3 linked regions of the Ovis aries genome follow. The protein of the gene in region 3 purifies or fractionates together with the protein of the main gene of each other region. This does not show direct contact. Links are inferred from orthologs where the notes say so. Each region holds a gene or a part of one and is shown on either strand. Other genes may lie near its edges.

Evidence for each region.
Region 1: the proteins of TCTN2 (region 3) and TMEM231 purify together in Homo sapiens (affinity purification with mass spectrometry; 3 studies listed by BioGRID and IntAct, counting the BioPlex papers as one, with this or other methods). This does not show direct contact. The link is inferred for Ovis aries from reciprocal best matches to the Homo sapiens genes TCTN2 and TMEM231.
Region 2: the proteins of TCTN2 (region 3) and TCTN3 purify together in Homo sapiens (affinity purification with mass spectrometry; 3 studies listed by BioGRID and IntAct, with this or other methods). This does not show direct contact. The link is inferred for Ovis aries from reciprocal best matches to the Homo sapiens genes TCTN2 and TCTN3.

Annotation. Positions count from the first base shown.
Region 1 is NC_056067.1:2,346,242-2,350,545, reverse strand, and holds the start of TMEM231 (transmembrane protein 231), read left to right. Parts: upstream 1-1,490; 5' UTR 1,491-1,576; coding exon 1,577-1,715; intron 1,716-1,822; coding exon 1,823-1,992; intron 1,993-4,304. UniProt on the Homo sapiens protein: Transmembrane component of the tectonic-like complex, a complex localized at the transition zone of primary cilia and acting as a barrier that prevents diffusion of transmembrane proteins between the cilia and plasma membranes.
Region 2 is NC_056075.1:16,989,474-16,993,129, forward strand, and holds part of TCTN3 (tectonic-3), read right to left. Parts: intron 3,610-3,656; coding exon 3,515-3,609; intron 3,226-3,514; coding exon 3,072-3,225; intron 1-3,071.
Region 3 is NC_056070.1:52,039,955-52,042,530, reverse strand, and holds the end of TCTN2 (tectonic-2), read left to right. Parts: intron 1-314; coding exon 315-440; intron 441-1,083; coding exon 1,084-1,172; intron 1,173-1,838; coding exon 1,839-1,942; 3' UTR 1,943-2,060; downstream 2,061-2,576.

The sequences.
Region 1 (4,304 bases), on a different chromosome or scaffold from region 3:
CTGATGTCTTTTTCCAGTTCACCATTCTAATTGGTTTCTCTGGCTGATGACATTGTCATCTCGGACTGTGATAAGGGCATTGTATAGTTTTCCCATATGGGCACGTCTTGACCTCTCTTCTTTGCTAGGATCTCAGCTGTTCTCTTCATCGAAAACCCAATTCTAGGTTATAATAACTAAACTTATCATGGTAATCATTTTGAAATGTATAGAAATACTGAATCACTATATTGTATAACAGGAACTAACCTAATGTTGTGGTCAATTATACTTCAAAAACGAACTCATTAAAAAGAGATCAGGTTTGTGATTACCCGAGGCAAGGTGGAGGGAGGGGAAAGTTGGATGAAGTCAGTCAGAAGATACAAACTTCCAGTTATAAGATAAATGAGTACTAGGGAGGTAATGTACAACATGATAAATATAATTAACACTACTTTATTTTGTAGATGAAAGAGTAAATGCTAAGAGTTGTCATCACAGGGGAAAATTTTTTTCTATTTCCTTAATTTGTAATCTATATGAGATGAGAGATGTTCAACAAATTTATTGTGGTAATCATTTCATGATGCATGTAACTCAAATCATTATGTTGTACACCTTAAACTTATACAGTGCTATATGTCAATTATACCTCAATAAATCTAGGAGAAAACCCCACTTCTAGGTTGCCTTCAAAATAGGAGTATTTATGAGTGGATCTCATTCTGAGCACAAACTTCACACTAACTCGGCACTGCAATGTGATCCTTTAGGGCCTTTTGATGGAGAACTTGGCTATTGACTACTTAAAAAAAAAAAATTTCTTCTGCCATGTTTGAAATACTAGAAAGCAGATGGGATGGGACGGTGGAAGCATTCAATTAAGTGTTCAGTTCAGTCGCTCAGTTGTGTCCGACTCTTTGCGACCCCATGGACTGCAGCACGCCAGGCTTCCCTGTGTAACTTTATCTTTGAGGAGGACCACGGCTTCTCCTAAAATAAGTAGCATAAAGCTTGTTCCCAATCAAGATAGCAAAGTATAGCAGAGCTATACAATAATTATCTTTTTTTTTCCCCTCGAACAGCAGGGAGATAGGTCTGTTTCCGTGTCTGCCCTGCTATGGAGTATAGTGAAAGCGATAGAAAATTTGGAAACAAAGGGACCTGGTTTGGTCTTAACCCAGGACCAAGTGTCTAGGACCACGGCCACTTTTTTTTGTTTGCCTCCAACGTACGGTGTGCTGTGATTGGTTAGACTTAAGTGTACAATAAACCACATTGGGGATTAATAGATTTGACTATTAATAAATAGTCAACATTTATGAAAAAACCTTATTTTACAAAATTGTTAACAACGGCCACGGTTTGGGCGCACGGAAACACCCTTTGGGAACGCGCAAGCAGTGTGCGACCACAGTGTACTTGCGGGCCCCGCCCCGTTGGCCACGCCCCCACGGAAAGCCCGCCTGCTCGCTATTGGTCGCTCTCCCTGGGCCGTCGGTTGCCGTGGAGACCACGGCTATGGCAACCAGGAGAAGCCATACTAGGTCGAGGCTCCGGAACTGCCGAGGGAACAAGACCCCGAGTGCTCCTCATGGCGCTCTATGAGCTCTACGCGCATCCAGTGGAGCGGGGCTACCGTGCCGGGCTCTGCTCCAAGGCGGCGCTCTTCCTGCTGTTGGCCGCCGCGCTCACGTACATCCCGCCGCTGCTGGTGGCCTTCCGGAGCCACGGTGAGTCTGCCCCCTCGCCCCGGCCGGTGCGCGCCCCGCAGCGCTACGTGGCTCCCGCGCCGCCTCCCTGACCCGGGTCTCTGCACCCCGCACTCTCGTTACCTCAGGGTTTTGGCTAAAACGGAGCAGTTACGAGGAGCAGCCAACCGTGCGCTTCCAGCACCAGGTGCTGCTCGTGGCCTTGCTAGGATCCGAGCCGGGCGGGTTCCTCGCCTGGAGCACGTTCCCCGCCTTCAACCGGCTGCAGGAGGGTCATCTGCGCGTCCCGCTTGTCTCGGTGAGTGCTTCCCGCCTGGGCCCGGCTGCGCAGACTGGGCTGCGGAGGGGATGGGCGGAGGGCGCGGCCTGACGGGAGGCTCCGGCCCCTGTCCCGGGGAACTCGGTGTGCGGCTGAAGGAGTCACGAACCCCAGACCCGAGCTTGTTTCCTTTCCTGGAGGCCTGTTTGTTGGTACATTCGGCTTCTCCAAGCCGTCCCCCACCCCGGGTAAGCTGGCTGCTACTGTCAGTGTCTCTGCTCTCTGCAGAGTCTCCAACCCCTGACAATTCCTGACATTTCGGCCTGGCCCTTCCTGAGGGAATGGTGGTCGCAGAGTTTGCTGTGTGAGTTGCGTTGTTGTTCATTCCCTAAGTCGTGTCCGACTCTATGGTGGTGGTGGTGGTTTAGTCGCTAAGTCGTGTCTGACCCTTGCGACCCCATGGACTGTGGCCAACCAGGCTTCTCTGTCCGTGAGATTCTCCCAGCAAGAATACTGGAGGCGGTTGTCATGCCCTCCTTCAAGGGATCTTCCCGACCCAGGAATCAAACCCAGGTCTCTGGCATTGCAGGCAGATTCTTTACCAACTGAGCTCTGAGGGAAGCCCCACTCTGCGAGCCCGTAAACTGCAGCACGCAAGGCTTCCCTGTCCTTCACCATCTCCCCGAGTTTGCTCAAACTCCTGTGCATTGAGTCAGTGACGCCATCCAACCATCTCATCCTCTGTTCCGGTCAATCACCCCGTTGTGCCGCTCCGTTGTCCGTGCGCCCACTGCCCGCAAAGAAAGGGCAGGCAGTTTTAGGCGGACTGTCACGGCGAAGCCAACGGGCTGATTGGTTAGCTGACCTCCAGAATGTCCTGCTGGCCAGGCCCGCCTCCCTGGGCTCACCTCTTCAGGTGCCGCTCAGTCCTGCTGCTGCTTCCTGGGGCTGAAATGAAGCATTTTACTGCCTGTCCTGTAGTATCTGGTTCAAGTTAAGTGAGTGCTTCCTTTACAGTCACCCCTTTAAACTCACTTTCTGAAAGCATTTTCCTTTGGAAGTAGGAAAACTCTGGATTTCCTTCTTCCAAAGTTGAATCTCTTTAGATATCTGAGATGATTGGCCTACATTCCAATTTGTGTAGCTGAAAAAAAATAATTTCAGACTTTTATCCCAGTAACTGAATAAAATGGAAAAAAAATTTTTAATGTAATTGGCCATAAATGAATAACCACCAACAAAATATGGTTATGATTACTTTTTATGATTACTTTAATTTGTTTATAATTATAAAAATGCCTGCTCATTGAAAATAGAGTTACAGGTACATATCAGTTCAGTTCAGTTCAGTTCAGTCACTCAGTCATGTCCAACTCTTTGCGACCCCATGCATCGCAGCACGCCAGGCCTCCCTGTCCATCACCAACTCCCAGAGTTCACTCAGACTCACGTCCATTGAGTCTGTGATGCCATCCAGCCATCTCATCCTCGGTCGTCCCCTTCTTCTCCTGCCCCCAATCCCTCCCAGTATCAAAGTCTTTTCCAATGAGTCAACTCTTCACATGAGGTGGCCAAAGTACTGGAGTTTCAGCTTCAGCATCATTCCCTCCAAAGAAATCCCAGGGCTGATCTCCCTCAGGATGGACTGGTTGGATCTCCTTGCAGTCCAAGGGACCCTCAAGAGTCTTCTCCAAAACTACAGTTCAAAAGCATCAATTCTTCGGCACTCAGCCTTCTTCACAGTCCAACTCTCACATCCATACATGACTACTGGAAAAACCATATGAAATTAAAGGCTCAGTTTGGTACATGTATCTAGACTTGTTATAATTAACCTTCATTTTAAGATCTGCTAGGGACTTCCCTGATGGATCAGTGGTAAAGAGTCCGCCTGCCAATGCAGGAGACATGGGTTTGATCTCTGGGAGTCAGGAAGATCCCCTGGAGAAGGAAATAGCAACCCAGTCCAGTGTTCTTTCCTGGGAAATCCCATGGCCAGAGAAGCCTCGTGGGCTATATACTACATGTGGTTACAGAAGAACCAGACACAACTTGGTGACTAAACAGCCAAATATTTCATGATATGGAAACCTGTAATTGATTTACCAGTTTCCTGTTGGTGGATTTTTTGTTTTTACTTTTTCACTATTAGAATATTGCAGTGAACAAGATTTTTACTAAATCATACACCTTTAAACATCAAATTGTGAGGAACTGGAATAGAAGCTGTTTGTTGACATTGCAAAAATACATAGAAAACTAAGCAAGCAAATAAAATAATTGTCAACTCTAGAAAAGTAGAAGGGAAAAATAATCAGAGTTATGAATAGGATTTCAGTTCAGTTCAGTTG
Region 2 (3,656 bases), on a different chromosome or scaffold from region 3:
TGGCTTTTCTTCCAAGGAGCAAGCATCTTTTAATTTCATGGCTGCAGTCACCATCTGCAGTGATTTTGGAGCCCCAAAAATAAAGTCTCTGACTGTTGCCATTGTTTCCTCATCTATTTACCATGAAGTGATGGGACCAGATACCATGATCTTAGTTTTTTGAATGTTGAGTTTTAAGCCAGCTTTTTCACTCTCCTCTTTCACTTTCATCAAGAACCTCTTTAGTTCCTCTTCACTTTCTACCAAAAGGGTGGTGTCACCTGCATATCCGAGGTTATTATTGTCCATGATCTTAAAAAAGATAATATTCTAAAATGGAAATACTAAAATAGAAAATAAAATGGAAATACTAACATAGAGATAAATAAAACACAAATAAGCTGATGTACAGTAGTTATAAGAAGTGCTCAGTGAGTGGTGGAGTCACTATTGTGGAATGCCAGAAGCAGCAGCCATTGCCGGTTGAAGATGGCTTCATAGAACCGGGATGAGTAATACGTGATGGAGGAAATGGTGTCTAAAGGAAAATTTAGGTAGAGAGATGGCACAACAACTAGAATAGCACATGCCATGAAGGGGCAGTTACTGATTAAGTACAGTTGTCATGTCTCCTACGTGCCAGGTATGTGGGAGGCATTGGCCCTGGGCAGACCACTTGACTGAAGCAATGGATCTGAACGCAGGAACAGTGGAAAGATTAAGGAAGGATGTTTCAGGGTTACATTATGAAGCCCAACTAAGCAGTCTGACTCCAGGACAATTAATTCTAAGATGCAGGAAGGACCGGTGGAAGTGAGGACATAAATCAGGAAGTTACGATAACTTAGCAAAACCAATTATCCTCAAATATGCCTTGCTTTTCTAACTTAACACTTTTTATTTATAGTAAGACTTAGACATAGGCAATAACACGTCTAAACTAGGAAGAGGGGAAGAGACCGTGTTTATGTTCAATTTATTCAGGAACTGTCAAACTCTTTTCAAATTGGCTCTACTATTTTGTAGTCCCACCAGCAATGTCTGAGGGTTCCAATTTCTCCACATTGCTGCCAACTCTTGTTATTATCCATTTTTAAAATTATAGCCATCCCAGTGGGTATGAATTGGTATGTCTTTGTGGTTTTGCATTCCCTTAATGGCTAATGATGTTGACTAATGACCTTTTCATGTGTTTTTTTCCAAATATTTTAGAACACTTTTCCTTTCATTTATTCTATCTATATTAGGAAAATTTTTCCGTGTTATCAAATATTCTACAAAAATGAGATTTAAAAATGTAAATAGTAGGTTTAATAACCATAGAGTAAATTCCGCTATAACCTCAGTCCTGTTCACTAACCATTTCTTAATACTCAGTATGTATCACCCCAAACCATGCTCCCTAGGTATGGCTTTATGAGGTTTAAGAAAACTTAATTTGACTACAGTTGTCCAAGGGCTGCATCAAGTACATGCATCTACTTATCCCCCAAGTCTCACTAAAAGGAAAGAAGTATACAAGGCATAAAGTCATAATAGTGCTGAGAAAGGGAAAGGGGGCACTCTAAAAATAAAATCTAAGAGGAAAGGCCTTCCAAGTCTGAACCAAAATTCAAAAGTTGAAAAAAAAGACTGATAAATCTCACAATATAAAAATCAACTTCTGTGTGGCATAAAAACCATAAACAAAGTCAAAAGACAAATGACAAACTGGGAAATAATATCTATAAATCACATAACAGAAAAGAGACAATTTCTCACATACTCAAAGATCTTCTACAAGTCATAAGGCTAGTAATTCAATAAAAATGGCTAGTAATTCAATAAAAAGATATTAATAAATCATAGTGAAGAAAATAAGAATTATTCAAGTGTATGTCAAGATACTCAACCTTACTCAGAATAGGAGAAAAAGAAAACTACAATGGGATATTAATTTTCACTTATCAGATAAGCAAAGATTAAAAGCTTGATAACCCAGAATTGAGGGTATGGGTAACAAGCCATCCCATAGATGGATAGTGGGGCTGTAAATAGGTACAACCTGTATGGGAAATAAATTTGCAATATATATTAAAAATGTAAATGCATATACCTTTGGATCTAGCAATTCTAAGATTTTTCATATAGGCTTATTTTCACATGTACAAAATTGTGCCTGAACCAGGTTATAAAATGCCACACTGTGTATAATAGCAAAAGGCTGAAAACAACCTGAATGTTCTGCCTAAATAATTTATGGTTTATCCATATAATGGAATAAAATGCAACTATACCATGCAAAGGATGAGGAAGCTTATTATATACTGATATGGAATAACCTCTCAAGATCAAGTGAAAAAAGCAAAGTGCAGAGCAGTATTTATGATCTTATATCATTTGGATTAAAAAAAAAAAGATGAGTATTTTCTTGTGTAAGCATGTAATATCTCTGGAAGGAAAGAAAGTAATAACTCTGCCTCTGTGGAAGGGAAGAGCTATCTTGAGAAAGAGTTTTATTTTTGTACTTTTGGAATTTTGAGCCAAGCATATGTATTACTTACACAAGAAATAAAAAGCTTAAGTGAAAGGAAATAAAATTAAAGATACAGTTGATTAAAGCCAGGAGGGAAAGTGAAAGTACAGTCCATGGAATTCTCCAGGCTAGAGGGGGCAAAAGAGGAAGTAGATTTCTTTCTTTTGCTCTGACACACAGATTTCGCTATTTCACTTAGACTGGAATCAAGAGGTACACCGGCCGAGCGCTGATGTGGCCACCGGAAAGAATAAAAACAGAAAAGAGCTGAATGAGATTTCGTCAGGGGTAGTGGGTATTGAGGCTTTTATTTTTCATTAATACTATTCTCTAGACCTTCTACCTTGAGATTTTTCTCTAAGTAAGGAAAGTTTTATATACATATATAACTACACACACACCTGACCTGAAATGATGACTTCAGATGGCCATGATTTCTTACAGTCTTTCTTTTAGGACAACCACATTATCTTTCTTCTGTGACAACCAAACCAACTATGGAAACAGGTCTGGTTTTAATCTTAATAAATAAAGGAGGAAAGTAAGCTTTTGTCAGAATGTGTATTTCTTTCCTTACTGAAACATTGTAGTTCCTGCTGAGGATCTCGGTCCACTCTCCCTTCTGGGCTGGGTCAGCATTTCCAAAGATGGCAATGTGCTCTGGTCTGGGACTTCCATGAAGAGCCTGATAAATCTCCTGCTGCAAGTGGCTGCAGTCCACCCTTTTCAGCCTAAAATCAAACACCTCGGAGTCTGGAGTCCAGTGCTAACATCATAATGTAATTCATTCAAACATTAGAAATAATACCAAAAAATAAACTGTGGGAAATAATCCTTCATAGGTATAAAAGACTCAAAAAAAAAAAAAAAAAAAAAACACCTCTTAGCAACATTAATATTATTTAAAGACTATTCCTAACATTCTCTGAACTCTAATTCAAAATATAAAAGTTGCCACATCACATATTCCCTACAGGTAGAGACAAATTTGCTAGAAATGATGTGGAAGCAAAGAATTACCTGAGCTTGCATCCAGATATTGCATTCACTCCAAATTGTACTTCGTGTCTCTTAACAGAGCAAGTGCCATCACCCTGGCTCTGTAAGAGGGTCATCTGAGGTGGAAAGGGATGGTCAAGGAGATCATAAAAGAAAAAGTAGG
Region 3 (2,576 bases):
GATAAAGCAAATGAACTTTAAAAGCACCAGTATGAAATGAGATGACAGGGGAGAGGAGAAGAAGCAGAACTGGTAAAATGCTGGTAGTTGTTGCAGCCTATGATAGGTCCACAAGGGTTCATTATACAGCTGTCTCAGCTTGTATGTGCATTTGAAAATTTACACACTACAAAGGGGGAAAGGCAGCACCAGGAAAACGTGAATCGTGTGTAGGAGAAGCCCAGCTCACGTTGTTGTTGTGTCAGTTACCCAGTGTTCTTAGCAGACCAGAAGTGAGCGAGGGCTTTGTCGCCTGCGTGACCTTTCCCTCCCAGGTTCTCCTCCGTGACCTGGCAGTTCCAGTGTGGACTGACTTGTGAGGACAAGGCTGACCTCTTCCCCATCGGCGCATCGGTCCAGTTTATTAAGATACCCGCACAGTTACCCCGTCCCCTTACAAGGTAATCTGTTTGCTGACCTCAGTGACATGATCAGGAAGCAGAAAAATATATGTTCAAAACTAAGAAGTTTAGGGACCTCCCTGGCCATCCAGTGGTTGATACTCCCTGCTTCCACTGCAGGGGGCATGAGTTTGATCCCTGGTGGGGGGAGTAAGATCCCACATGCCACGTAGTGCTGCTGAATAAGTAGAAAACAAACAAACGCTTCACTTCTTTAATCAAGTTTTAGATGAGGTTTTAAAAATAGCTTTCTTTATTTGTTTTTGGCTGTGCTGGGTCTTCACTGCTGCCCCTGGGGACTGTTTTTAGTTGCCGAGAGCAGGGCCTATTCTGCAGTCTTGGTTTGCGGGCGTCTCATTGCAGTGACTTCTCTTGTCACAGAGCACAGGCTCTAGGCACGTGGGCTCAGTAGCTGCGGTTCTCGGGCTCTAGAGCATGGGCTCAGGAGCTGTGGCACACGGGCTTAGCTGTTCCATGGCACGTGGGACTTTCCCTGGTGAGAAGTTGAACCCACGTCTCCTGCATTGACAGATGGATTCTTTACCACTGGAGCCACCAGGGAAGCCCTTTAATGAGGTTTTGATGCAACTCATCAAAAGCATGTTTTGTTATAGCTATTATAACCTTCTAAAATGTTCTGTAGATTCCAGATCAATTTTACAGAGTACGACTGTAACAGAAATGAGGTTTGTTGGCCACAACTTCTGTATCCACTGACCCAATATTATCGAGGTAGGTAAAGCCCTTTTCTGAAATGTTTATCATTATGTTACGTTAATTAAAAAACTTTTGAAAAAAGTATAAATGTCACAGGAAAGTTAAAACATATAGCAAAGTTTTAAAAAGAAAACATGTACTGATGTTGCCATTTAGAAATGATCACTCTTTATGTTTTGGCTTATTTCTACCTAGTTACCCAAAAAGTTAAGAAATAACAACATTCCTGGATATTCCTTGGTGGTCCAGGGGTTAAGACTCTGTGCATTCACTGTAGAGGGCATGGGTTTGATCTCTGGATCCCTGATCAAGGAACTAAGATCCCATAGGCTGTATGGCTCAGCCAAGAATGCTCACAAGACCAAAAAAATGTTGCTTACACTGCTGTATTTAAAATGGATAACCAACAAGGTCCTACTGTACAGCACAGAGAACGCTGCTCAATGTCATGTAGTAGCCTGGATGGGAGGGGAGTTTAGGGGAGAATGGATACATCTATAGATGTATATATACATGTATGTATGTATGTATAGCTGAGTCCCTTTGCAATTCATCTGAAACTATCACAACATTATTAATAGGCTGTACCCCAATACAAAATAAAAAGTTTTAAAAAATAAAATAATGATGATGAAAATGACAAAAAAAAAAAGTTGCTTAGTTTGATTCATTGTCTTGCAGGAGAGCCTTACTCTCAGTGTGTTGCCAAGAGCTTACTACTGGTATCTTTCATCGTATTAGCTGTATTCCTCAGTAACCCCTGGATCAGAATACACAAAGCTTAGAATTCAACTACCGTCTGACTTCTTACAGATCATCAGCTTCTACGTCAGGGATTTGTTGTCCTCCTGTGTGCCTCTCTGTAAAATCTTAATAAATGAAATATTTTATTTTTATAGAAAATTTTATTAAATGCTCCACAAATTAAATTCACATATGTAGCTATCCAGACGTTCAAAGCAATTCAGAGTGGGTGTTCTCACCGATGCACCAGAGTGAGCAAAATGCATGAGAGGGTCAACTGTGTCAATAAGTGTAATTAGGAACTTATTATAGATAAGTTTCATCACAGATTATGAAAGTCATAGGAGTTTTGGTCCAAATGTTATTCCTACCATAGAGAGTCAGTCTTTGAATTTTTTATGTATTTCTGTTGCAATGATAAGTTTCCACTATTCCAAAGAAAGGATTAGAAATGCATTAAAGTCTATTGCCTTAAAATATATTCATAACCTCAAAGTTGGGAGTTATGTTTTATTTGGTGGGAATTTTTAGGACTTCGAGCCCGGGAGACACCGTCTCAAATGATCCTGAGAGAATTGCTCTGAGGAGGTGAGGAGAGGAGTCACGTTATATAGAAGTTTTGCAACAAAGGGCAAGTAGTTTGAGCATCAAAAGATTATTGTTAATTAAAACCAG